6 linked regions of the Xenopus tropicalis genome follow. The protein of the gene in region 1 binds, or shares a complex with, the protein of each later gene. Links are inferred from orthologs where the notes say so. Each region holds a gene or a part of one and is shown in the gene's direction. Other genes may lie near its edges. The genes, in order: piga, pigq, pigc, pigh, pigy and pigp.

What was found.
Region 2: piga (region 1) and pigq share a complex: the UniProt entries of both Homo sapiens proteins name them as parts of the glycosylphosphatidylinositol-N-acetylglucosaminyltransferase (GPI-GnT) complex. The link is inferred for Xenopus tropicalis from reciprocal best matches to the Homo sapiens genes PIGA and PIGQ.
Region 3: piga (region 1) and pigc share a complex: the UniProt entries of both Homo sapiens proteins name them as parts of the glycosylphosphatidylinositol-N-acetylglucosaminyltransferase (GPI-GnT) complex. The link is inferred for Xenopus tropicalis from reciprocal best matches to the Homo sapiens genes PIGA and PIGC.
Region 4: piga (region 1) and pigh share a complex: the UniProt entries of both Homo sapiens proteins name them as parts of the glycosylphosphatidylinositol-N-acetylglucosaminyltransferase (GPI-GnT) complex. The link is inferred for Xenopus tropicalis from reciprocal best matches to the Homo sapiens genes PIGA and PIGH.
Region 5: piga (region 1) and pigy share a complex: the UniProt entries of both Homo sapiens proteins name them as parts of the glycosylphosphatidylinositol-N-acetylglucosaminyltransferase (GPI-GnT) complex. The link is inferred for Xenopus tropicalis from reciprocal best matches to the Homo sapiens genes PIGA and PIGY.
Region 6: piga (region 1) and pigp share a complex: the UniProt entries of both Homo sapiens proteins name them as parts of the glycosylphosphatidylinositol-N-acetylglucosaminyltransferase (GPI-GnT) complex. The link is inferred for Xenopus tropicalis from reciprocal best matches to the Homo sapiens genes PIGA and PIGP.

Annotation. Positions count from the first base shown.
Region 1 is NC_030678.2:29,606,187-29,609,686, reverse strand, and holds part of piga (phosphatidylinositol N-acetylglucosaminyltransferase subunit A), read left to right. Parts: coding exon 1-109; intron 110-1,039; coding exon 1,040-1,339; 3' UTR 1,340-3,500. UniProt on the Homo sapiens protein: Catalytic subunit of the glycosylphosphatidylinositol-N-acetylglucosaminyltransferase (GPI-GnT) complex that catalyzes the transfer of N-acetylglucosamine from UDP-N-acetylglucosamine to phosphatidylinositol and participates in the first step of GPI biosynthesis.
Region 2 is NC_030685.2:21,225,050-21,228,982, forward strand, and holds the start of pigq (phosphatidylinositol N-acetylglucosaminyltransferase subunit Q), read left to right. Parts: upstream 1-1,133; 5' UTR 1,134-1,677; intron 1,678-3,933. Other genes in the region: nhlrc4 (NHL-repeat-containing protein 4), read left to right, coding at 1-530. UniProt on the Homo sapiens protein: Part of the glycosylphosphatidylinositol-N-acetylglucosaminyltransferase (GPI-GnT) complex that catalyzes the transfer of N-acetylglucosamine from UDP-N-acetylglucosamine to phosphatidylinositol and participates in the first step of GPI biosynthesis.
Region 3 is NC_030680.2:107,290,750-107,294,676, forward strand, and holds the start of pigc (phosphatidylinositol N-acetylglucosaminyltransferase subunit C), read left to right. Parts: upstream 1-1,127; 5' UTR 1,128-1,153; intron 1,154-3,927. Other genes in the region: suco (SUN domain-containing ossification factor), read right to left, coding at 551-600. UniProt on the Homo sapiens protein: Part of the glycosylphosphatidylinositol-N-acetylglucosaminyltransferase (GPI-GnT) complex that catalyzes the transfer of N-acetylglucosamine from UDP-N-acetylglucosamine to phosphatidylinositol and participates in the first step of GPI biosynthesis.
Region 4 is NC_030681.2:52,816,212-52,820,216, forward strand, and holds the start of pigh (phosphatidylinositol N-acetylglucosaminyltransferase subunit H), read left to right. Parts: upstream 1-1,205; 5' UTR 1,206-1,348; coding exon 1,349-1,525; intron 1,526-4,005. UniProt on the Homo sapiens protein: Part of the glycosylphosphatidylinositol-N-acetylglucosaminyltransferase (GPI-GnT) complex that catalyzes the transfer of N-acetylglucosamine from UDP-N-acetylglucosamine to phosphatidylinositol and participates in the first step of GPI biosynthesis.
Region 5 is NC_030677.2:67,794,317-67,798,413, reverse strand, and holds the start of pigy (phosphatidylinositol N-acetylglucosaminyltransferase subunit Y precursor), read left to right. Parts: upstream 1-1,297; 5' UTR 1,298-1,495; intron 1,496-2,477; exon of another isoform or gene 2,478-2,520; coding exon of another isoform or gene 2,521-2,738; intron 2,739-4,036; coding exon of another isoform or gene 4,037-4,097. UniProt on the Homo sapiens protein: Part of the glycosylphosphatidylinositol-N-acetylglucosaminyltransferase (GPI-GnT) complex that catalyzes the transfer of N-acetylglucosamine from UDP-N-acetylglucosamine to phosphatidylinositol and participates in the first step of GPI biosynthesis.
Region 6 is NC_030678.2:12,648,149-12,650,814, forward strand, and holds part of pigp (phosphatidylinositol N-acetylglucosaminyltransferase subunit P), read left to right. Parts: coding exon 1-74; intron 75-897; coding exon 898-970; intron 971-1,672; coding exon 1,673-1,791; intron 1,792-2,666. UniProt on the Homo sapiens protein: Part of the glycosylphosphatidylinositol-N-acetylglucosaminyltransferase (GPI-GnT) complex that catalyzes the transfer of N-acetylglucosamine from UDP-N-acetylglucosamine to phosphatidylinositol and participates in the first step of GPI biosynthesis.

The DNA of each region.
Region 1 (3,500 bases):
CATTAACAGGCTGCTGGCTGGGGAACTGCTGAGCCCTGAAACAATCCACAGAACAGTGAGCACATTTTATACATGGAGAGATGTGGCTGAGAGGACTGAAAAAGTATGTGTAAGCTGCCTTGCTTCAAATACTGTTGGGAAGATAGCGACGTGAGCCTGAATGTATTTATTCTTCATGCCCTTTTTTCTGTAGACTGTGATGCTGACTGTTATTATCATTTACTGGCGTCCCTGCCCCGAGTGCATACAACTAAATACCCTACCGCAGACATTCACACTAAGGCTGATGCCACATGGGGGCCGTGGAAAAATGCAGGCTAAGAATCAGTCCCTCAACAGGCATCAGCCTGCACCTGGAACCATAGCCTAGGTGCAGTCACACACTGCAGATATCAGCAAAGAAACACAAGAGTCTGCATTTTAGAGCAATATCCGCCGCTTTTGCTTGCAGCCAGTTCTACACAATGGTTCTGGTGCAGGCAAGGTAGGAGGCTGATGCCAGTGGAGGGGCTGTTTCAGGCCTGCATTTTCCCCATAGGCCGAGAATCGGCCTGTGTGGCATCAGCCTATAGCCTGATGTTTTTTGGACTCTGGGGGTGGAAAGTGAAGCAAAGCCAACAAAAACAAATACCAGGCAGCCAAATTAACAAATACCAGGCAGATGGTGATCTGGTTAAAATCAAATGCCAGTTCAATGAGGTTACAAATATAATCACTAATCATTCTTTTAATCTTCCTAGAATGCATAGATTAGGTTGCATAGATTAGTGCAACCTAGTTATAAAGACTGGTTCAGGTAATAGAAAATATAGTTCCCCCTTGTTGCTGATATTTACCCTTCAGGTCCTCTTCCCTGCCACTAGAAATCAACAAAAGAAGGTTGGGCGCTGTACAAGGTTGGGTCATGTATGACCACTTTTAGTTGCTACTAATCTGTAATTTAGAAAGTATTATGGCTATAAAGATGTTTTTTTTGCCAAGAATTACGTTGAAGGAGATTCTGTAAGATAATCTTCACGTTATATCTGTCTCCTTGTAGGTATACAATCGAGTGGCCCAGGAAGTTGTCCTACCAATGGACCAGAGGCTTGAGCGACTTGTGAGGCACTGCGGAGTAGTGACTGGCTGTATTTTTGCCCTTTTTGCCATTGTAAGCTTCCTGTTGCTGAACTTTCTGAGATGGATGACTCCAGATTCTTCTATTGACATTGCTGTGAATGCAACAGGGCCAAATGGTGCCTGGTTGAGACAATATTCCACTGAAAGGAAACATGAACTCACCAGAAAGAGGGACCCTGATGCCTGTAAAGAACCATCTGACCTTTCTGCAGAACATTGATATATTTGGTGAACAACTGAATGATTTGTACAGTATTCTCAGTGCGAAGTGCTGCCTAATGCAATCTGATGCTTACTATTTGGCATCATTTCCAATTTCTTCCATTCTACTTTTAACAGTTATACTGTTATACATATTGTTATACATTTCTGTTGGCCTCTGCCCGTAGCATTGAGGTTTTACTTTCCTACAAAGTGCACAGGGCTGATCTTTGGGTAATGAAAAGCATTTGTGCTAGGCCTCCAATAAAAGAGGCCCATTGGGCGTGGGAAATTATTGGTAAAAGTACAAAACATGGATGATATTTTCATATATACTTTGGCCTTTTAGCCATTGTTAGAATACAACTTATTGATGACTATGGACAACCACAAACTAACTGGGTGTAGCCCAACAACAGCTGAAGGCATTGCAAATTGCACACATTTGAAAAGTTACTCTGCCCTTATATTGGGGCCCTGCACTTCCGTTACAGCATGGGGTCCCATCTTGTCTAAAGCTGACCAAGGTCAGATCCAAGTTTAACCAAATTGGACCAACAATGCACTGAGCTGTATCAGGAAGGTCTGATTGTTTGGCCACATCCGCACCCTGATTCAGTCCTTTCTAACACACCTGATAAATATCTGGCTGATTATCTGGCAAGTATCAGTCAGACAGGGGCCCATAGATTTTTTGATTGTGCAAGAGTAGCCCCTTAACTGAAGCACTTTGTATGTTTGAAGTCTGTATTACAGCTCGACAGGCTAATGAAGTCATGGGGGCTTATTTACTAAAACCGGGCAAATCTGCCCACTGCAGTTACCCATAGCAGCTTATCTAGCTTTCATTTTTTTTTATGGGGCTGATCGTGCAAAAGTAGCCCCTTAACTTAAGTACTTTGTATGTCTAAAGTCTGTATTTCAGCTCGACAGGCTAATGAAGACACGGGGGCTTATTTACTAAAACCGGGCAAATTTGCCCAGTGCAGTTACCCATAGCAGCTTATCTAGCTTTTATTAGTTTACTGTAAGAAGTATGGAGAGCCAGGTTAGTACCTATGGGTGCTATGGCTGCACTGAGGCTAATTTGCAAAGTGTTGATAAAAGGTACAGTACATGAATGAGTTTACTGATTTACCTACCTCCTAGGGTTGTCAGATCCAAACTAAAGGGGCAGTGTCTTGCTCTTATCAACATGAGCCAAATAAATCAGAAATATATTCTGCCAATTCTCTGTTTTAAAAAAAAAAAAAAAAAAACTGGTATTTTATTAAATAGGCAAGCAGATGGTTTGGTTTTTACCTTCACACCGTTCCCCTGGAATCAGCTGCTGTCCCATACGCACATTCCATGAGAAGGAGAATCTGATTAAATCACTTGTCCTCGAGAGTTGGAATTAAATTGAAACTTTCATACATTATAACCCCCATTTATTATTATGCCACGCTTTAATAGCTCTTTGTTATATTCTGTCATAATACAGGTTATTATCATATATTTATATTGTTTATTCCTTCTAAGCAGCTGTTTGCCTTTACTCAGCCTTCTTATCCCTTTCAGGCGTTTCGAGTCAGACAGAAAATAAATAGTTCCATGAGCACCAGCAAATGGGTCCTTCATATGCAAGCATAAATGTGCCAATAACTTGCCAGAAACATAGTTCATCATTTTTATCATCATCAATTAGTGGGCAGAACACATTTCCCTAAAGACCCTGTTTATTTGGCTCATGTACAATAGGTTATTAATTCCCCTTTATGCACTGGCATAAAGTGTCTAACATAGGGTTACCACCTCAGCAATATATTGAATCCACATCCTGCATGGCTAATTAGCAATTTATTTAGCTGAATGCTGCAGACTGAACTGATTTATGTGCAGCCATGCAGCATGCATCTTAATTACTTGCTAGCCATGCAGGATGTGGATTCAATATGGGACTGGTATTAAAGTGAGGTGGCAACCCAGTTGAACATGGAGTGGTTAGGAGAATACACATAGATGCTCAGGTATACAAAATACAGAGCATAATCAATATTTTAGAGTTATTTTTAAATGTAGAAGTTAAAGGAAAGTATATTTGTATTTTTGAAACAAGGTAAATGACAGGTCTTCCACTGCTGATTAAAGTGAGGGTATTGTTCCCTGCTTTATGTACCGTCATTATGCTGCCTATGCAA
Region 2 (3,933 bases), on another chromosome or scaffold:
AGTCTCCACAGGGTATAGCAACAGATTCCTCTGGACGCCTTTTAGTTGCAGAATACACTTCTGGATCAGTTCTGGCATTTCATGTAGACAGAGCTTATCGTATCCACAAAGTTCAACAAGCCAATGGCTTGAAGGGGCCAACCCATATATGTGCCACTCCAGACGGGGGCTTTGCAGTGAGTGAGGAATGTGGGGATATCAAGCGATTTACAAGCAATCTAAAACTTGCTTGCTCTCTCTCAAAAACTTATCAGCACACATTTGGGAACCCAGTAGGAATATGTGCGGATCCAGAAGGCAATATCATGGTTGCCGACCAACAGCACAGAAATGTCACCCTTTTCCCTTCAAGTGGGTCACCTATCTGTGTGGTATCAAAGGGCCTGAGTAGGCCAACTGGCATAGCTTGCTCACCTCTTGGACAATTATTTGTAATTGATTCTGCTGACAACTCGGTGAAGGTTTATAAGTACCGGGTACGGCCTTATTATAACCCAACCAGCCCCAGGAGATCAGTGGAAAATCCCTAAGCAAATATAGGAAAACAGCATATAGATTTTAGAAAGTGCATGGGCATGTATACGATCATTTGTATGTCATTATATATGAGGAAATATATATATGTGTGTATGTGAATTATACATGAAAAAAAGCTATTTTGTAAATTCTAAACACTGATAAAAATAAAGGTGGCTTGTCATTAAAGGAACTGTAACACCAAAAAATGAAAGAGCTTTAAAGTAATAAAAATATAATGCACTGTTGCCCTGCACTGGTACAACTGGTGTGTTTGCTACAGTAACACTACTATAATTTATATAATAAGCTGCTGTGTAGCCCCGGGGGCAGCCATTCAAGCTGGAAAAAAGGAGAAAAGGCACAGGTTACATAGCAGATAACAGAAAAGTTCTGTAGAATACAATAGTGTTTTATCTGTTATCTGCTATGTGTCTGTGCCTTTTCTCCTTTGAATGGCTGCCCCCATGGCTACATAGCAGCTTATTTATATAAATTATAGTAGAATTTCTGAAGTAAACATACAACTTTTACCAGTGCAGGGCAGCAGTACATTATATTTTATTTACTTTTATACACTTTCATTTTTTGGTGTTACTGTTCCTTTAAGGTGTTGTTTAAAAAAGTGGGGGAAGCAATTTTCTTTGCACATTTTACTTTTTGGGCTGTTCCTCACTTCACTCATGGTATACCACTTGTCACAGCCTTAGTATTTTGCTAGAGACCAATCAATGCTCTGCTGCTAGCGGTGCTGTGCTAGTTGCACATTTAAAGGGTAATTATGGGCCGTGGAGTTTGTTCACTCTGCCTTTACCACCGACAGCTACTGTTTAGTGGGGCTCTACAGAGCACAGTGCCTAGGGAATTCGCCCCTGCTTGCTCTGCCCTTGGGTGCCACATTACATATGGGTCATTTACTCTATCACAGAATAACCAACATCACCAATCGCACACATCTGCCTGTGACAGCCCCATAATGAGTACTGTCCCAGCTTAGCAAATGAGTGCTACATAGTGCATTAGTGCATCCTATCAGCTGCATCCCTGAGGGCACGGCATGAATGTGTTGTGTGATTGGGAGGTTCCTCTTGTTATCTGAAGGACAAGCTTGCCCTGATGTTACACACTCAACAAAGTGGCAAAGCAGCCGGGGACTCATCAGTGAGTATTAACAATTTATATACAGAGCAACTGACATAACAACCTCATCCCTTAGCTATAATTTACTTTTTATTACAAAAGAACTAGGTTATCCATACAATACTCTTTACATTGTTGTGAGTTATTAAGATTGTGTACTCATTTTGTGTTATATATAATCTCAGAATATGCCTTAGAGAGAGCTTTATAAATTGGTGATATATGTTATGGTAACTTTTATGCTCTTTTTCAGGTATTAATTGTTGATTTTACTTTTATTATATCACTTTGTATGATAATCTGATACTCTGAGTTGATAATTTACCTGTTATATGTTGTATACAACAATAAAAAAATACTCACATAAAAAAGAAAGGGTATAATGAATGTTTGCCCCCTTATCCTAATTCAAGTCCTGCAGGGCAACGACAAAATCTAGCCTGGCCCCAAAAAGCAGTAGCCTAAGAGCCCTCTTTATAAAGCACTGAAGCAGCTTCAAACAGGGATGGTGAAGTAGTTTTTGAAATGGCAATGGAAATGTTGGAATAGTAAACCTATTGATGGTTAGTGATATACTAGGGGTGTACCAAGATTGGGGCGGACACTATTTTGACCAAAAAAAGTGTGGGTGACCATGTTGCAACACTAGGGATTAGAGTCCTAGCTCCCCAGGACTAGGTTAGAAGCCTAGTGTCAAATTAGTTGAAACAATTAAAGATGCAAACCAAAAGCAAACCCTTAATGGGCAACTAATAACCAAAAATAGTTTCCTCCAACCAGTGGTCAGGGATAATGAAGGGAACATTCTGAGTTAAAGAAACTTTTTAAGTATTTTTAAGTATTTTGTGGGAAAAAAACCCACAGTAACACTACATGGCTGGGAGCTCACTCCCAGTGCAGGCACCATTTTGGGGGCATACATAAGTTTAATAAGCAAGTGCCCCAGTTCGCCCATTATGCGTGTGACATAACAGTGGGAAGCTTCTTCTTGCGATCCTACCTCACATCAAGTCTGGACTGCGATTCAAAATAGGCCCTTGCATTTCAAGCACATAGAGGCCATAACAGCCCCTTACCAGGTCACTAAATAATTACTGTCTATGGCACCTTACAGCAGCACCTCTGGCATTTGCCACAATCTACAGATTGCCAGACCTGCCTGATATGCACGCACATGCTGTAGCTGTAAGGCTGATGCCACACATAGGGGCACATTTACAAAGGCACGAATGCTCGAGCGTTCATGCGAACGCTCCGAGCGTATTTTCGCAGTTTTTTTCTGGCGTCCGGACGACTTTTTCGTATATCGCACGACTTTTTCGGACGTTTGCACGAAAAAATCGGAAAGATTTTACCACTGTTTACAATTGTTCGGTACGAAAATTTCGTGACTTTTGGATCGCCAATACGATATTTTCGTGACTAATACGATATTTTCGTGACTAATACGATTTTTTCGTAAGCGTTTTCGTGATATTTACGATCTTCAGAAATTTTCGTTTCCAATCCAATTTTTTCCCATTCGTGATTCGGATTCGTGGATTAGTAAATGTGCCCCATAGTATATGGCGTATATTTTCAGCAAGCGGAAAAACGCTTGCTGAAAATATCGCCATATGCTCCTACCTGTGCCTGCACCCGAATGAATGGAATACGCTTGGGTGCAGGCACATGTAGCTGATATCTGCCGAAGACGTTAAGGCTGATGCCACACGTGGCGTTTTTACGCTGCGTTTTTTCTCAGCCTAAAAACGCCGCACAAGCCACACAGCCCCTGACTATGGCGTTTTTCAGCCTAGTACTGGTGATGTAGCAAATCCCGTTTCCATGGTTCTAATAGTGCAAAATAGTAAAAAACGCTACGTATTTCAGCTAGGTCTGGCAGCTGCCTTTGCGTATACATAGGAATAGCTTGCTTTGCAAATACTGGCGTATTTCAGCCAATGCTTGAAAAATCCGTGCTAAGGCGTTTTCTAGCGTATTTCCACATTGTGGTTTGCTTCAAGTCTTTTCAAGTTATTTCTATGGATGATGATATCAGGCGTTTTTCAGCCGCTGAGAGAATTAGAAAATACGCAGCGTAAAAACGCCACGTGTGGCATCAGCCTAAGTCTCGTGTTTTTTGGCGGATATCGGCTACATGTGCCTGCACCCGAGCTGTAGCCAGAAGTTTCGGCAACTAATCACCCCATGTGTCTTCACCCTAATGAGTGCCAGTCAGACTTGCAATGGCTGTAACTGCTGCCCACAAGGGCTTGTTCTAATGCGAGGGGGGGG
Region 3 (3,927 bases), on another chromosome or scaffold:
TAAAAGCCAAGAGGTATTCTCTGTGTACTAACGAAAGGAAAAGTTTTCTTAGCTAGCCAGTTATTATTTAAGGGGCAAAACGGTTTTGGCATAATGAAAGAAAGTAGAACTCTAAGCAATCTTTGACATGCATGCTGCTACATTGTTTCAGGAGTCACAGCCAGCAGTGCAGAGAATATAAGCAGCAGGGCAGCTACAACTTTCAGCCAGCAATTACATTTAGAAATAGCTTAAAAATCACTGAGTGTTTTAAATCAATGTATACTGTAAAGCTGCTGGGAATTACAATTTCATTATACATTTTAGGAGAAGATTCCATTTAATTCATCCATATGAACATGAAGAAAAAGTGAAATTATTGTTGGTGTAATGGCATAGTGTTACATTTATACTAAGACCAGGACTCCTAGGACACTGCTTTTCACACAATGATGGGAGACCCCCCCCCCCCTTCATTCAGGGTACATGACAGCGAGACTACCTGTCAGCGAGTAACAGCAATGTGGGCATTTACGCTCCAACAGACAGGCGCAGGGCCCTAAGCACTCACCATGAGCCAACCAGAAAGAGGCAGAATATAATAAACACCCGTTTCGTCATCTTTCCCGGACGTATTTTCTCATCCTCGCTGGCATTTCCCGTGTACTTTAATGAGCACTAGTCGTACAAGCCACCATTGAAAATGTCCCCGTTGGTGTATGGCGCCGGGGAGAGCCGTGCCACTGTTTCCCCTACTTCCCCTTCGTAAAAGCACTGCCCACACCACGCTACAATCCTCCAACGCGGCCGATCCCCTGCGAATGCCTCCAACTGCACAGCCAGCTTAGGCGGAAGGAGACGCGTCACTCCGGCCGAGGTTAGCGAATCAGACGTAGCCTTTACAACCCTCCCCCTTCAAATGCATTGGTTTGGTCCAGAAAGGATGCCTCAGCTCTTTTGAACAACAAGGCCTCTGTAATGGACTGGGGGCGGAGACTCGTGTTAAGCGAATTGGAATCAAGGCGCCCCTGGCAACTATTGTGGCCTTTCCTGTTTCTAGTGAAAGGGTTCTGACAGCCAATAGCATTTCAAGATACGACCGCTCTTGATTGGCTGCTCAGCCAAAGGTTGCAAGGGGCTGGAGAAACGCGGAAGCCTGGCTTTAGGAAATCAGGTACCCACTTACTGGCAGCTTTCTTTTGAGTTGGTAGCTACCCACAGGGTCTCTCCATTGTTTTTCCCTACATTGTAACCTGCCTACTGTCACTGCGGTTTGCTATACATTTCATTTTGTTTGTTGCGACAATATTAGCCTTGACATATGGGGTGGGGGGAATATGGCTAGTGCTTCTCTGCGTAGGTGTCCGCACAGAACGGCAGAAAGTAGGTTCCATAAGTCAAAGGCTTGCTACTGTAGTGTGCGGAAAAAAGTACAAAATTGTAGTTTGCAACAGCCCTGCACTTTGTAAGTGAGCTCTTGAATATGTAACTGCTGCCTCCTTTATATACTGTCTCTTAAGTTGCCAGTTGGTAGTCTTGCTCCTTCTCTCTCTCTCTCATCTATATATATATATATATATATATATATATATATATTACAGTCCACAAAATTTTCAGCACACCAAACCCCTAATATAAATCACCTGGGTGCTACCTCCATGTGTCTAATTATCCAAAAATTGGGTGCACACCAGGATATTTTTTAAAGATTAAAACGTTACTTTTATTTAAACATGCTGTTAAAACAGGCCAACGTTTCGGTCTCCTCCTAAGACCATTATCATTATCAAGGGTCTTGGAGCCGGGTTGGAGCTGCAGAGTGCCATTGAGCCCTATGGGAGACTTTCCTTGGGCCAGGTTGGAGCTGCAGAGTGCCATTGAGCCCTATGGGAGACTTTCCTTGGGCCAGGTTGGAGCTGCAGAGTGCCATTGAGCCCTATGGGAGACTTCCCTTGGGCCGGGTTGGAGCTGCAGAGTGCCATTGAGTCCTATGGGAGGCTTCCAAAATCATGCTAAGTCTGAAAGTTTTGCCCGCAGTTTACGAGCGCTCAATACGAAAAAGTCGCGACAAGATACGAGCAAATCGTAACGGCTACGAAAAAGTCGCGACAATTCGTGCAAGTCGTAATGGTTACGAAAAAGTCGCGATAATTTACGAAAAGTCGTAACGGCGACGAAAAAATCGCAAAATGTTCGTTTTCCAATCTGAATTTTTCCCCTTCGGATTCATGGGTTAGTAAATCAGCCCCTATGTTTGAGGCAAGGCTAAAATTTAGCAGTTGCCTTTCATTAGATGGAATTATCCAAGTTACTGTGTAATAGGCAGGTTAATACATTCCTTAGGTCTGTTGTTTTAATGAAGAAACCGTTAAGAAAAAAATAAGAAAAGGAAACCAGTTTCATTTTAGCACTTCCTGTTCCACTAAGAAGCTCCTGTTCAAACCCTGCACCTTAGGGAAGGGAGGGGATTGTATATTTGTTTGAAGGTAAATAAGGATCTCTGAACAAATTGCCCTGTCTATAAAGGAGGGGCTTTTCAAACAGTGCTTTATAATGGAAAAAAATTAGGAGTATATGGCAAAATACATTTTAAAGCAAAACTATACCTCCAGAATGAATACTTAACCAACAGATAGTTTATATTATGTTAATAATATGGGCAGAACTCTGCCCAATAATTGGCTGATGTGGCCTAGCATGTATGTGTGCCTTGGCTTGTTTGTGTGCACCGTTAATACTATGATCCAAGGAGGCGGCCATTACTTCTTAAAATGGTAATTTTCTATTTAGCAGTACCCAATAGCACATATTGCTAAAAAAAAGTATATTTTTATGAAAATGGTTTATTTAGATGAAGCAGGGTTTTACATATGAGTTGTTTTATGCAATATATTTTTATAGAGACCTACATTGTTTGTGGGTATAGTTTTCCTTTAAGCATAAGTTGTTTTTTTTTTTTGTTTTTTTTATTGTGCTCATTTTTTGCCAATGTGTTTTAGACATATATTTTCCTTTTTAAATCTGTGTTTGTCCCTTGAATCTTTTACACTTGAAAAAGACCCTCTGTTTGGTCAGAACAACCCATGTTACTTAATGGATTTGCAGTGTAGTTCCGGCAATGTATATGCATGCTTCCTCCGCAGAAGAATTGTACTGTATATGTCAATGTCAAATGTGTGAACCAACACCTGGTTTCTTCCTACAAAAATTTGATAAGCTGCAGTCCAGAGCAAGATAGTTATTTATTCCCATTAACAAAGGTGCCCGGAATAGTGCCCAGACTAATTATACCACATGGCAAACCTAAAGAAGTCACTTACAATAAATTGTTTACTTTTGAGCTTCATCTGACTGATTTTTTTTTTTTTTTTTTACATTATAAAGAGTCTGAAGTTTTCATAAAGATTAAATTGTATTCTACTTTTCCATTTCGTTATAAAATAAATGTGCCTACTAACATTTAGCAAAATGTCTCTTGATTACTGTTTAGCCTGCTTTGTTTATTAAGTACATAGAACATAACTACCTTTGAAAAAAGCTCAGTGCAACGTGGCAGTGCTGTTATCAGGTGGAGGATTAAAAACACAGGTCATTTTGATCTGCAAATAGAATATTTCCAGGTCAGTAAATCTCTGCCACTACCCCCTGCCTGTCTCACACCAGAGTAAACACAATTCAGAAGAGAAACATATTCCATGAAGCTGTTAAAGCATATGCATTTTGCTCATGGTATTATAAAGGTAGCGTAGGACATTGCTTCTTTTATTTTTACCATATCTTTTGTGTGATCAGAAGAAAGAAATTCCACATTTTCTGTGTTGATTTTCTCTAATATTAGGAGTTAGTTTGACTTTTGTCATTGTGAGATAATGGGATTTCAAATTGGGTAATTTAAATTGCTGACTGTTGCTTTGGGTGACCACACTTGTGCAGATTTGCCCATTGTTA
Region 4 (4,005 bases), on another chromosome or scaffold:
ATATGGCACACACAGGGAGCATAGGGCAGGCAGAGTATGGTGCACACAGGGAGCATAGGTCACGCAGAGTATGGCATGCACAGGCAGGGTAGGGCAGGCAGAGTATGGCACACACAGGTAGCAGAGGGCAGACAGAGTATGGCACACACAGACACTGTAGAGCAGGGCAGGCAGAGTATGGCACACACAGGCAGGGTAGACCAGGGCAGGCAGAGTATGGCACAGTCAGGGTAGAGCCGGGCATGCAGAGTATGGCACACACAGGCAGCATAGGGCAGGCATAGTATGGCACACACAGGCAGCAGAGGGCAGACAGAGTATGGCACACACAGACACTGTAGAGCAGGGCAAGCAGAGTATGGCACACACAGGCAGGGTCGACCAGGGCAGGCAGAGTATGGCACAGACAGTCAGGGCAGAGCTAGGCAGGCAGAGTATGGCACACACAGGCAGCATAGGGCAGGCAGAGTATGGCACACACAGGCAGCAGAGGGCAGACAGAGTATGGCACACACAGGCAGGGTAGACCAGGGCAGGCAGAGTATGGCACAGACAGTCAGGGTAGAGCCGGGCAGGCAGAGTATGGCACAGACAGTCAGGGTAGAGCCGGCAGGCAGAGTATGGCACACACAGGCAGCATAGGGCAGGCATAGTATGGCACACACGGGCAGCATAGGGCAAGCAGATTATGGCACACACAGGCAGCATAGGGCAGGCAGATTATGGCACACACAGGCAGCATAGGGCAGGCAGAGTATGGCACACACAGGCAGGGCAGGAAGAGTAGGGAAGGAGACAGGGAAACCTATCATGACTATGCAAGTAATTAATCATGACCACTCCAAGATGAAAAGTTTGTAATGTAATATATATACTGCTCCTACAGCTTATAGGAGAGTTGTAACGTACGTATTTATAGTATCGCCACTCTCAGCAATTTTATGTTGTTGCACATCGTTTCTGAATTACCTTTATTAGTTGTGTTTTTTTATTTTTATATATATATTTCAAAACATATAAGCAACATTTTAAACTTTAGGAATGTCAAATCAATACATCTCATAATCACAGATCATTTCCCTTTCTCTGTTTTGTAAAACGATGCAGTCATTTCACGTCCCCTGTTTATCCGGTAACCTTCACGCACTACTGCACAGAACGCCCATATACAAACCCTCACTCCACATAGGCTATGGAAAGGGGCGTGGCTTTTGTATGGCCGGATGGGCAAAACTGAAGTAACCCTTAGTTTTCTACCAAACCAGAGGCTCTCTGAAACTAAGGGCTTAACCAGAATTGTCCGCACTCCGTTTTGATGCCGGAGAAGCTGTAGAACAGAGCGAGGAGAATGGGAACTAAAGAGTTCCTGGACGCGCACGGCGAGAAAATCACTCTGCACCAAGAAGCCCACAGCGTCTCCTGCAGGGAGTTCAGTGTCGTCTGCCCTAAGCTGTCGGTGCGAAGCGTAACGTCGTGCACCTGTGCAGTATGGCTCGCAGCGTATGCGATTTTCGCTTACACGCAGGTCTGGCGGGTTACAAACATGCCTTTTGTTTATTAGCTGCTTCGTTTGTATTAGATTGTTGTGTCCTTCACTCGCCTGCCACTCTGCCTCCCTCCGCCTAGCGGAGTAGTATGGGCGCGGCAGGTTTATATTATTTATTAGGCTTTATAAAAGGGAGAGTCTCGCTGTGTGAACAGGGGTGAAAGGCAGGGAGCTCAGTAAAGTTTGTATTTACTTTTATGGCGAAAGTGTATTTTCCAATTGTGTGTTGTGCCTCATGAGAGTCAATGAAGGAAAAATTCGCTTTGTTGTGTGGAAGCACAAAATGAAATGATGGGGTCATTTATAAGCACTAGGCAAGTTTGCCCCTGGATAGTAACCCATAGCAACCAATCAGAACCTTGCCTCATGGGGCAGAGTGCTGCCAGTTACCACAGACTGCAAATAACTCTAGGAGCCAAATTCAGCTCTTCTAGTGCTCTTTCTCTTCACTAGCAATGCCTCTGCTTCGGGCCTGCTCCAGTGCTAAACAGGTGAGGCGGCTGCACTGGGGATGTTGCCTTGGGCACTAGCAGCCCCAAAAACACTGCTGCAACAGGGGATGCAACAAATCCATTTAGTGCAACCAATCAGTGATTAGCTATTTTTGACCAGTTGCAGGTAGTACAGTGAAAGCATACACTTGATTAGTTGCTGTGTGTTTATAAATTCCACCCAGTGACTTTCTGCATACTGCCAAAGGGAGTAATGGGTGCACCATGAGCCTTGTTGCAACAGATTTTGTAAAACCCTGTTCTCTAAATACAGAGTAGATGCAGTGAAAGAGATATATCCACCTGCTAACAAAAATCAAGCGAATAGAAGTGGACTTTACGCCACATGTCACCGTGCCAGAAATTAGGCACATAAATATTCTTCATTTCTGTTTGTTCATTTCTGACTTATATTTCTTTGTAATATTGTCCTATTGCATTTATATTTGTACTCTCTAATTACAGTGAGGAACATAAGTATTTGAACACCCTGAAATTTTGCAAGTTCTCTCACTTAGAAATCATGGAGGGGTCTGAAATCCACATTGTAGTTGCATTCCCGCTGTGAGAGACGGCATTAAAAAAAACATTCAGGAAATCACATTGTATGATTTTTAAAGAATTTATTTGTATTGCACTTCTGCACATAAGTATTTGAACACCTGGCCATCAGCAAGAATTCTGGCTCTCAAAGACCTGTTACTCTGCCTTTAAGGCTGATGCCACACGTGGCGTTTTTACGCTGCGTATTTTCTAATTCTCTCAGCGGCTGAAAAACGCCTGATATCATCATCCATAGAAATAACTTGAAAAGACTCGAAGCAAACCACACAATGCGGAAATACGCTAGAAAACGCCTTAGCACAGATTTTTCAAGCGTTGGCTGAAATACGCCAGTATTTGCAAAGCAAGCTATTCCTATGTATACACAAAGGCAGCTGCCAGACCTAGCTGAAATACGCAGCGTTTTTTACTATTTTGCACTGTTAGCACCATGGAAACGGGATTTGCTACGTCACCAGTACTAGGCTGAAAAACGCCATAGTCAGAGGCTGTGTGGCTTGTGCGGCGTTTTTAGGCTGAGAAAAAACGCAGTGTAAAAACGCCACGTGTGGCATCAGCCTTAATAGTCCACCTGCACGGAAGGTTCCCGTGCTCAAGTAATCACATGTCCAGGCCCGTCTGAAGTTTGCCAATGACCATCTGGATGATCCAGAGGAGGCATGGGAGAAAGTCATGTGGTCAGATGAGACCAAAGTAGAACTTTTTGGTCTGAACTTCACCCGCCGTGTTTGGAGGAAAAATAAGCATGAGTTGCATCCCAAGAACACCATCCCTACTGTGAAGCATGGGGGTGGTAATATCATGCTTTGGGGGTGCTTTTCTGCAAAGGGGACAGGATGACTGCACTGTATTAAGGAGAGGATGAATGGGGCCATGTATTGTCAGATTTTGAGCAACAACCTCCTTCCCTCGGTCAGAGCATTGAAGATGATATGACCCGAAGCACGCAGCCAGGATAACCAAGGAGTGGCTCTGTAAGAGGCATATCAAGGTTCTGGAGTGGCCTAGCCAGTCTCCAGACCTAAATCCAATAGAAAATCTTTGGAGGGAGCTGAAACTCCATGTTGCTCAGCAACAGCCCCGAAACCTGACAGATCTAGCGGAGATCTGTGTGGAGGAGTGGGCCAAAATCCCTGTTGCAGTGTGTGCAAACCTGGTCAAGAACTACAGGAAACGTTTAACCTCTGTAATTGCAAACAAAGGTTTCTGTACCAAATATTAACACCTGATTCTCAGGTGTTCAAATACTTATGTGCAACAGTGCAATACAAATAAATTCTTTAAAAATCATACAATGTGATTTTCTGATTTTTTTTTTTTAATGCTGTCTCTCACAGTGGGAATGCACCTACAATGTGAATTTCAGACCCCTCCATGATTTCTAAGTGGGAGAACTTGCAAAAT
Region 5 (4,097 bases), on another chromosome or scaffold:
CTACAGACTTAAGCCCTACCTCCCGTTTTGCTGCCCCAAAAGCTTGCTAGCCCTAGCCTCCCATATGTTTGTGCCTGAAACTGTTTCCCTATTTAAGGGGTAGCTTAATTAAATAGAAAAGTCATTCCTGAAAAATCCCTTGCTAGTTACTGGCTTTTACTAATGAGGGACATTTAACAATGAGGTGCTCAAAAGACTTCTGCCCTTTTAGATCAGATTCTGTTCAGGCTACAGACTCTGACCTTATCTCCCAATTTGCTGACAAGTAGCTTGCTGGCCCTATCCTCCCCTTAGTCTGTGCATATAACTGCGTTACTATTCTTTCTTGGGATAGCTTGAGTTGAAGGAAAAATATTAGTGCAGGACCAAAACAGCTCCCTAGTGTTCTGTTAATTCAACCACATCGGATTGTCCTAACCAAATAGGTCCCTAAACTCCACCTAACCCAGAAAACAGTCAAGCCACCCAGGGCGCGCTGGCTTTCTATTAGGGATGCACCGAATGCACTTTTTTTTTAGCATATGCTAATTAGGATACGGAAGGGTTAAATTTCTAACTTCCGTGTTTATGTGACAAAAAGTCACGTGATTTTTAAGATTCGGATTCAGTTCTGCCAGGAGCCGAAAAAAGCATAATCTTGGCCAAATCCTGGATTCGGTGCGTCCCTACTTTCTATCCACTACCTGACATATAATGAATAGAGTTGCCTCCCAGCAGTTATTTTACAGGCCTGACCAATAAAACTGAAATTTGATTCCAACAGTACTAATAGACAAGATAGCTACCAACAAGAGAAGGAATGGTATTTTTTGTAGAAAAGGTGGCAACACTAACAGTAATTCACCAGCTTCTCTATGCACACTCATGACAACCAGCTCCCCTAATGATCAAATACCCCTTGCAGCCGGTTAGCCTGCTGCCATGTTGTTTTAATTACTGCTGGCTTAGAACAAACTGGCCATACACACATCAATAAAATCATACAAAACCTAGTCTCAAACAATTTTTGGACCGTGTGTGGTCTCAGAATAATCGCCCCCAAAGTTTGTCAGAAGAAGAACTGAACTTGTATGGAAAATAAGGAAGATAAGATCCAGCCACAGCAATGTAAAATGTCCCTGTGCACAGGAAATTGCAGCAGACAGAACAATCTTTATCTAGTGTCCATTTTAAGATATCTGTGTGTGTTCAACTCCCTCCCCACCACAGAAGCCCCCCCCCAGCTCCCTACCTGTCACATACCCCATCCGACTAGCTCCATACTCCCCCTGACTTCCTCCCTGTTTTATCCATGCTGTAGCTTTCTACCTTGTCTACTCCCTACTCTGTGATTCTTTGTGCTGCAGCATTCTATACTACCCGCAACCTGTTCAGTGCAGTATCAGACTGGGCTGCTGGGGTACTGGGAAAAAAACCTGTTGGTCCCCGGCGGGCCAGATCCCCTCCCCCAGGGCTCTCCCGCGATCCACCGTCACCCTCCCCCAACATACCGCAGGTAAGTTTCTTTTAGAAGCATGGTCGGAGGGTGTTTGGGGCCTCTGCAGGGGTTGGGGGGGGCTGGGGTTCCTGAGGCAGAAGCCCCAGTGAGCCCTGCACCCCCCAGCCCGACCCTGTTTCTGTGTCCTATAGGGTTCTCAATTTATTGCCCATGAACCTTTTCAATGATCTATATATATGCTGTGCCTTTCCAGCTTTCATTTGTATTTTGCCTGACGAAGGGGCCTGGGTGCTTCAACACAGGGTCAGACTGCGGAGTGAAGGGCCCACTGGGGCTCCCGCCCCAGGGGCCTTGTAGGTGCCCGTGCAGGGCCCCCCACCTGACATCCTCCCCCGAGCGTGTAAATTTAACACGTCAGGGGAGGAGCACTCGGGCAGGGGGAGCATCGGCAAGGGTCGGGTCTGGGCCGCCAGGGCCCACTTTTCCCGGTGTCCCAGCGGCCCAGTCCGACCCTGCTTGGACAGCTTGCAATTTTTCTTACTCAGCCAATAAAAGGTATCAGATTTTCTGCATTGTTTTTAATGGCTAACACAGTACAACATCTTAATTCCATAGGATTCCACAGTGAACAAAGCTTTTTGCTTTTAACAGGAATACTGTTACTGTATTCCTGTTTACCTATAACTTATTTTGAGCACTGTTAGAAATTAAATTGCTACCACCTGTCAGGCAATGTGGGCTGGTACCTGGTTTAACACAAATACAGAAGGAAAAATCGCCTGGCAGTGAATGGGTTACATATCTGTGATCGCAGGAATCAAAGGGCAAACCAGATTCAAGCAATAATATCAAGTAAAGGTAGTTTAACATTACAGAAAGACTTTAATCACAACTCTTTCAGATATATTTTGAGGGTTTTGCAGGCTGTGGGTTTATATAGTTACATGCACATGGTAGGAACCACTGAGACTGCTTTGTGTCGTGTGAGGGGCTGTTTATAGTGCTGCACAGGAAGAAGGGGTGGAATCGTTCCTGGGAAGTAAAGGTTGTGTGTCAGTCAGTTTCTGTGCAGAAAGTGGAACATGCTGGCTGTCAGGGCATGGGGAAGAACATATAATACCTTAGTCCAGCGGAAACTAAACGCTGCCTGTCCCACTGGCGCCCTGCCAGCTGTCACACTGCGGCCCTTGCACTGCTCTTTAGTTGCCAGATCCCCGGAACAGAGCCTGAAGGACAGCAAGACGTTTGATCCTACCCTCTTGCAATTCCTGGTCTGCCCTCTCTCAAGGAAATCGCTGAGGTAAAATACCTGGCACTGGGTTAAAGGGCTCTGATACAGTCAGTATACTGCTGCTGGGTGGGGGGGTCATTAAGATCACCTATGATCCTAAGCATTGCTTCCCCCCAGAGGTGCGGGCTACAATACAAGGATACTGCCCCCTGCAGTGCTGGGCTGCCCCTAGTTTGAGCAAAGTGTCCCATCAGACTTGGGTTTCTCTGACTTAAAGTTATAGCCACGTATTGTTCTATTTATAATTTCTAATTAATTACCCTTTAGAAAGACTATATTGATATTAACCATTAGCCAAATGTTAGGGCTTATATTGAAAATATCGCTGCTTATTTTTATTGAAAGGGGAACTACAGTTTATGAACCAAAATTTGTTAAAGAGCCCAACACAGAAACCCCTAATATACCTAGCACTGTAAACTGTTTCTTTCTGCTAAACCTTCTAACCTTCTTTCTGCATTATTTAAAATCCTGGGAAGAGGATTAAAGAAGAGGGACTAAAACACTGATGTTACAAATTGTAACAACTTCTCCACATCTTACAGACAGCACTCAGAAACTACATTACCCACAATGCATTGCCCAGTGATGTTATTTTCCCTATTCCTTATTATATGTGCGGGGAATTGTGGTAACTGGAGAAGGCAGGCTGAGGACAGTCTACTGCATTTTATTTGAGTCTCAAAGTAGTCAGTCAGGTCAGCAGGGGAACAGGGTGTCCCATACACCTAAGCCTGTACTCTGTATAGGGAAATATTCAGTTTATTAACAGCAAGCAGATGTCTCTTTGCTATTTCAAGCTTAACTAGAACTCCTAAATGCATTTTATATATATTATATATATATATATATATATATATATATATATATATATATATATATTGAAAAAAAGACCAGCAACACCGGATCTATTGCAAACAATCAATTATATATTGAAAAATACATGAACAGCCAACGTTACGTTTCGGTCTTGAGAAAGGTCCCGACGGGGACCGAAACGTAACGTTGGCTGTTCATGTATTTTTCAATATATAATCGATTGTTTGCAATAGATCCGGTGTTGCTGGTCTTTTTTTCAATATTTAAACTCTTTTACCGTGCACCCGGGACAAGGATTGAAGCGGTGTGCCACCCTTGGCTCGATATATATATATATATATATATATAATATTGATTATGGAATGACGCTTGTGGTTTGAAATGTACTGATTTTGGTGATCAAATTTCCCGACATTAAATATAAACGGCTGTGATTCCCCATTCATTGATCCAGATCTGATTGTTTATATGTCATTTTTTTTCCCTAGATATGAAGAATCTACCAATGAGTTAATTAATGACGAGCTGGGTATAGCTTACCCAATTGTT
Region 6 (2,666 bases), about 17 Mb from region 1:
GAATTCCCCGTCCCCGCTACCTGAAAGGGCAATTTATGGCTTCGTTCTGTATTTGGGTTCCCAGTTTGGCTTCAGTGAGTATCAGCACTTGCATATCATTGTGTATTGGAGCAGTTGGTTCTGTGCTAGTGAGACGTACAGGCCGCCATCTTCTGCTGAACAAGCTCCTTCCATACAACATGTTTTATTGTGCCCCTGAAGCTTTGGTCACCACCTGTCTCCGGATCACTCATATGGATCAAAGCTTAAATAAAGAAATATCATGTCCATTCAGTCCTCTCATTGCAAGGGACCGTAGTGGCCAATACTGCTCCCCACATTACTCCTTGCTCCCCTTTTCAGTTTTGGACTGGGCTCCCCAGGGCCACCAGAGAACCTGACAGCCTCTATCTCCTTTTTACTAGTGATGTGTGGGTCGACAAAAAGTTGATCTGCACTGGACAGTAACCCGCCGAGCCTCGGAATTTGTAGCCCTGGCCAACCCACCATCTCTGTCATCACAAAAGGCCCAGGGCACACAGGCACAAATCAATAAATAGCGACATTTGGAAGCGTAAGCGGGCAAAGTAAGGTCAGGTTGGGCTTAAGAAAGTTGTGTGGCTGCCGGCCCAAGCCCACCCAACCTGCAGGTCCCTGACCCGCACATCACTACTTCTTTACTTCTGTCCTCTAACAGGGCCAGCACTTCTCAAACCTTTGGCCTACCCAACTAAACCATTGGGGGGCCCCATAGTCTCTGTTTATTATTGCACAGCACCTAATAGCCACCTCTCAGCTATGCCACAAAACACTGGTCACAATCTAGGATACAGTTACTTTTGGGCATTTGCACCCTACTGCACTTATTTAATTGGTCTTTCTGGTATTTGTGACTGAGCTGCTGTTTTGTACTTTCAGTTCTGTACCTAACGTGGGGCTTCATCCCAGAGTCTTGGTTACACTCATTAGGACTGACGTACTGGCCCCAAAAGTAAGTACTGATGTAAGCACTATACACATAGCTGTACTGTATGCACTGTGTTCCCTTTCTCTCTGGGCAAAGCAGGATGGCTGCAGGTTTACATGGTATAGTGTCAGTCTGAAAAGTCTTTGTAGCCCCAGATACACAGAAGGGGATCATTTACTAACATCGGGCATCAGGGTCGGACTGGGGGGTGCAGGGCCCACCGGGGCTGCCGACCCAGGGGCACTGGAGGTGCCCTGCCAGCCGCATCCCCTGCATCCCCTAGGGGCCCCCACTACACCCCCTAACCACCCACAGTGGCTCTGCCCAACGTCCTCCCCTAAACGCGCCTAAGTTTAACGCATCAGGGGAGGAACACCGTAGGCCAGGGGAGCGCTGGCAAGGGTCGGGTCTGGGCTGCTCCTGGTGTCCCGGCGGCCCAGTCCAACCCTGTCAGGTATATTAGCCCCATTGCACCCAAAGCCTTCAGTAAAACAATTAGCTTTAATCAGACTCCTGCAGACAGAAGAATGAATGCACATCTGTGATCAGTTACTCTGCACAAATTAGAGCATATTTGTTAGTAAATGTGGCACAGTATGTCAGTAGGATAACAGGATACATATTGTGTGCAGCCACAAAGTCCTACCTACAGTATAGTAATTGCAGACTGATAGTAATGCCTTTGTTGTCTGGCATTTCAGTTTCTTTTACAAATTGTGTTTATAGATATTGGGCTGTGGCAGTGCCCGTCTACCTCCTCGTTGTGTTCGGCATCGCCTATATCTTTCTGTTTGGTATAAACATGATGAGCACTGCTCCCCTAGACTCCATACACACTGTAACAGGTAAGTGGGACTCTGGCTACAGTATATAGAATCTAGTGTATATGTGTGTGTGTGTGTATATATATATATATATATATATATATATATATATACAGTGGTGTGAAAAACTATTTGCCCCCTTCCTGATTTCTTATTCTTTTGCATGTTTGTCACACAAAATGTTTCTGATCATCAAACACATTTAACTATTAGTCAAAGATAACACAAGTAAACACAAAATGCAGTTTTTAAATGAGGGTTTTTATTATTTAGGGAGAAAAAAAATCCAAACCTACATGGCCCTGTGTGAAAAAGTAATTGCCCCCTGAACCTAATAACTGGTTGGGCCACCCTTAGCAGCAATAACTGCAATCAAGCGTTTGCGATAACTTGCAACAAGTATTTTACAGCGCTCTGGAGGAATTTTGGCCCACTCATCTTTGCAGAATTGTTGTAATTCAGCTTTATTTGAGGGTTTTCTAGCATGAACCGCCTTTTTAAGGTCATGCCACAACATCTCAATAGGATTCAGGTCAGGACTTTGACTAGGCCACTCCAAAGTCTTCATTTTGTTTTTCTTCAGCCATTCAGAGGTGGATTTGCTGGTGTGTTTTGGGTCATTGTCCTGCTGCAGCACCCAAGATCGCTTCAGCTTGAGTTGACGAACAGATGGCCAGACATTCTCCTTCAGGATTTTTTGGTAGACAGTAGAATTCATGGTTCCATCTATCACAGCACGCCTTCCAGGTCCTGAAGCAGCAAAACAACCCCAGACCATCACACTACCACCACCATATTTTACTGTTGGTATGATGTTCTTTTTCTGAAATGCTGTGTTACTTTTACGCCAGATGTAACGGGACACGCACCTTCCAAAAAGTTCAACTTTTGTCTCG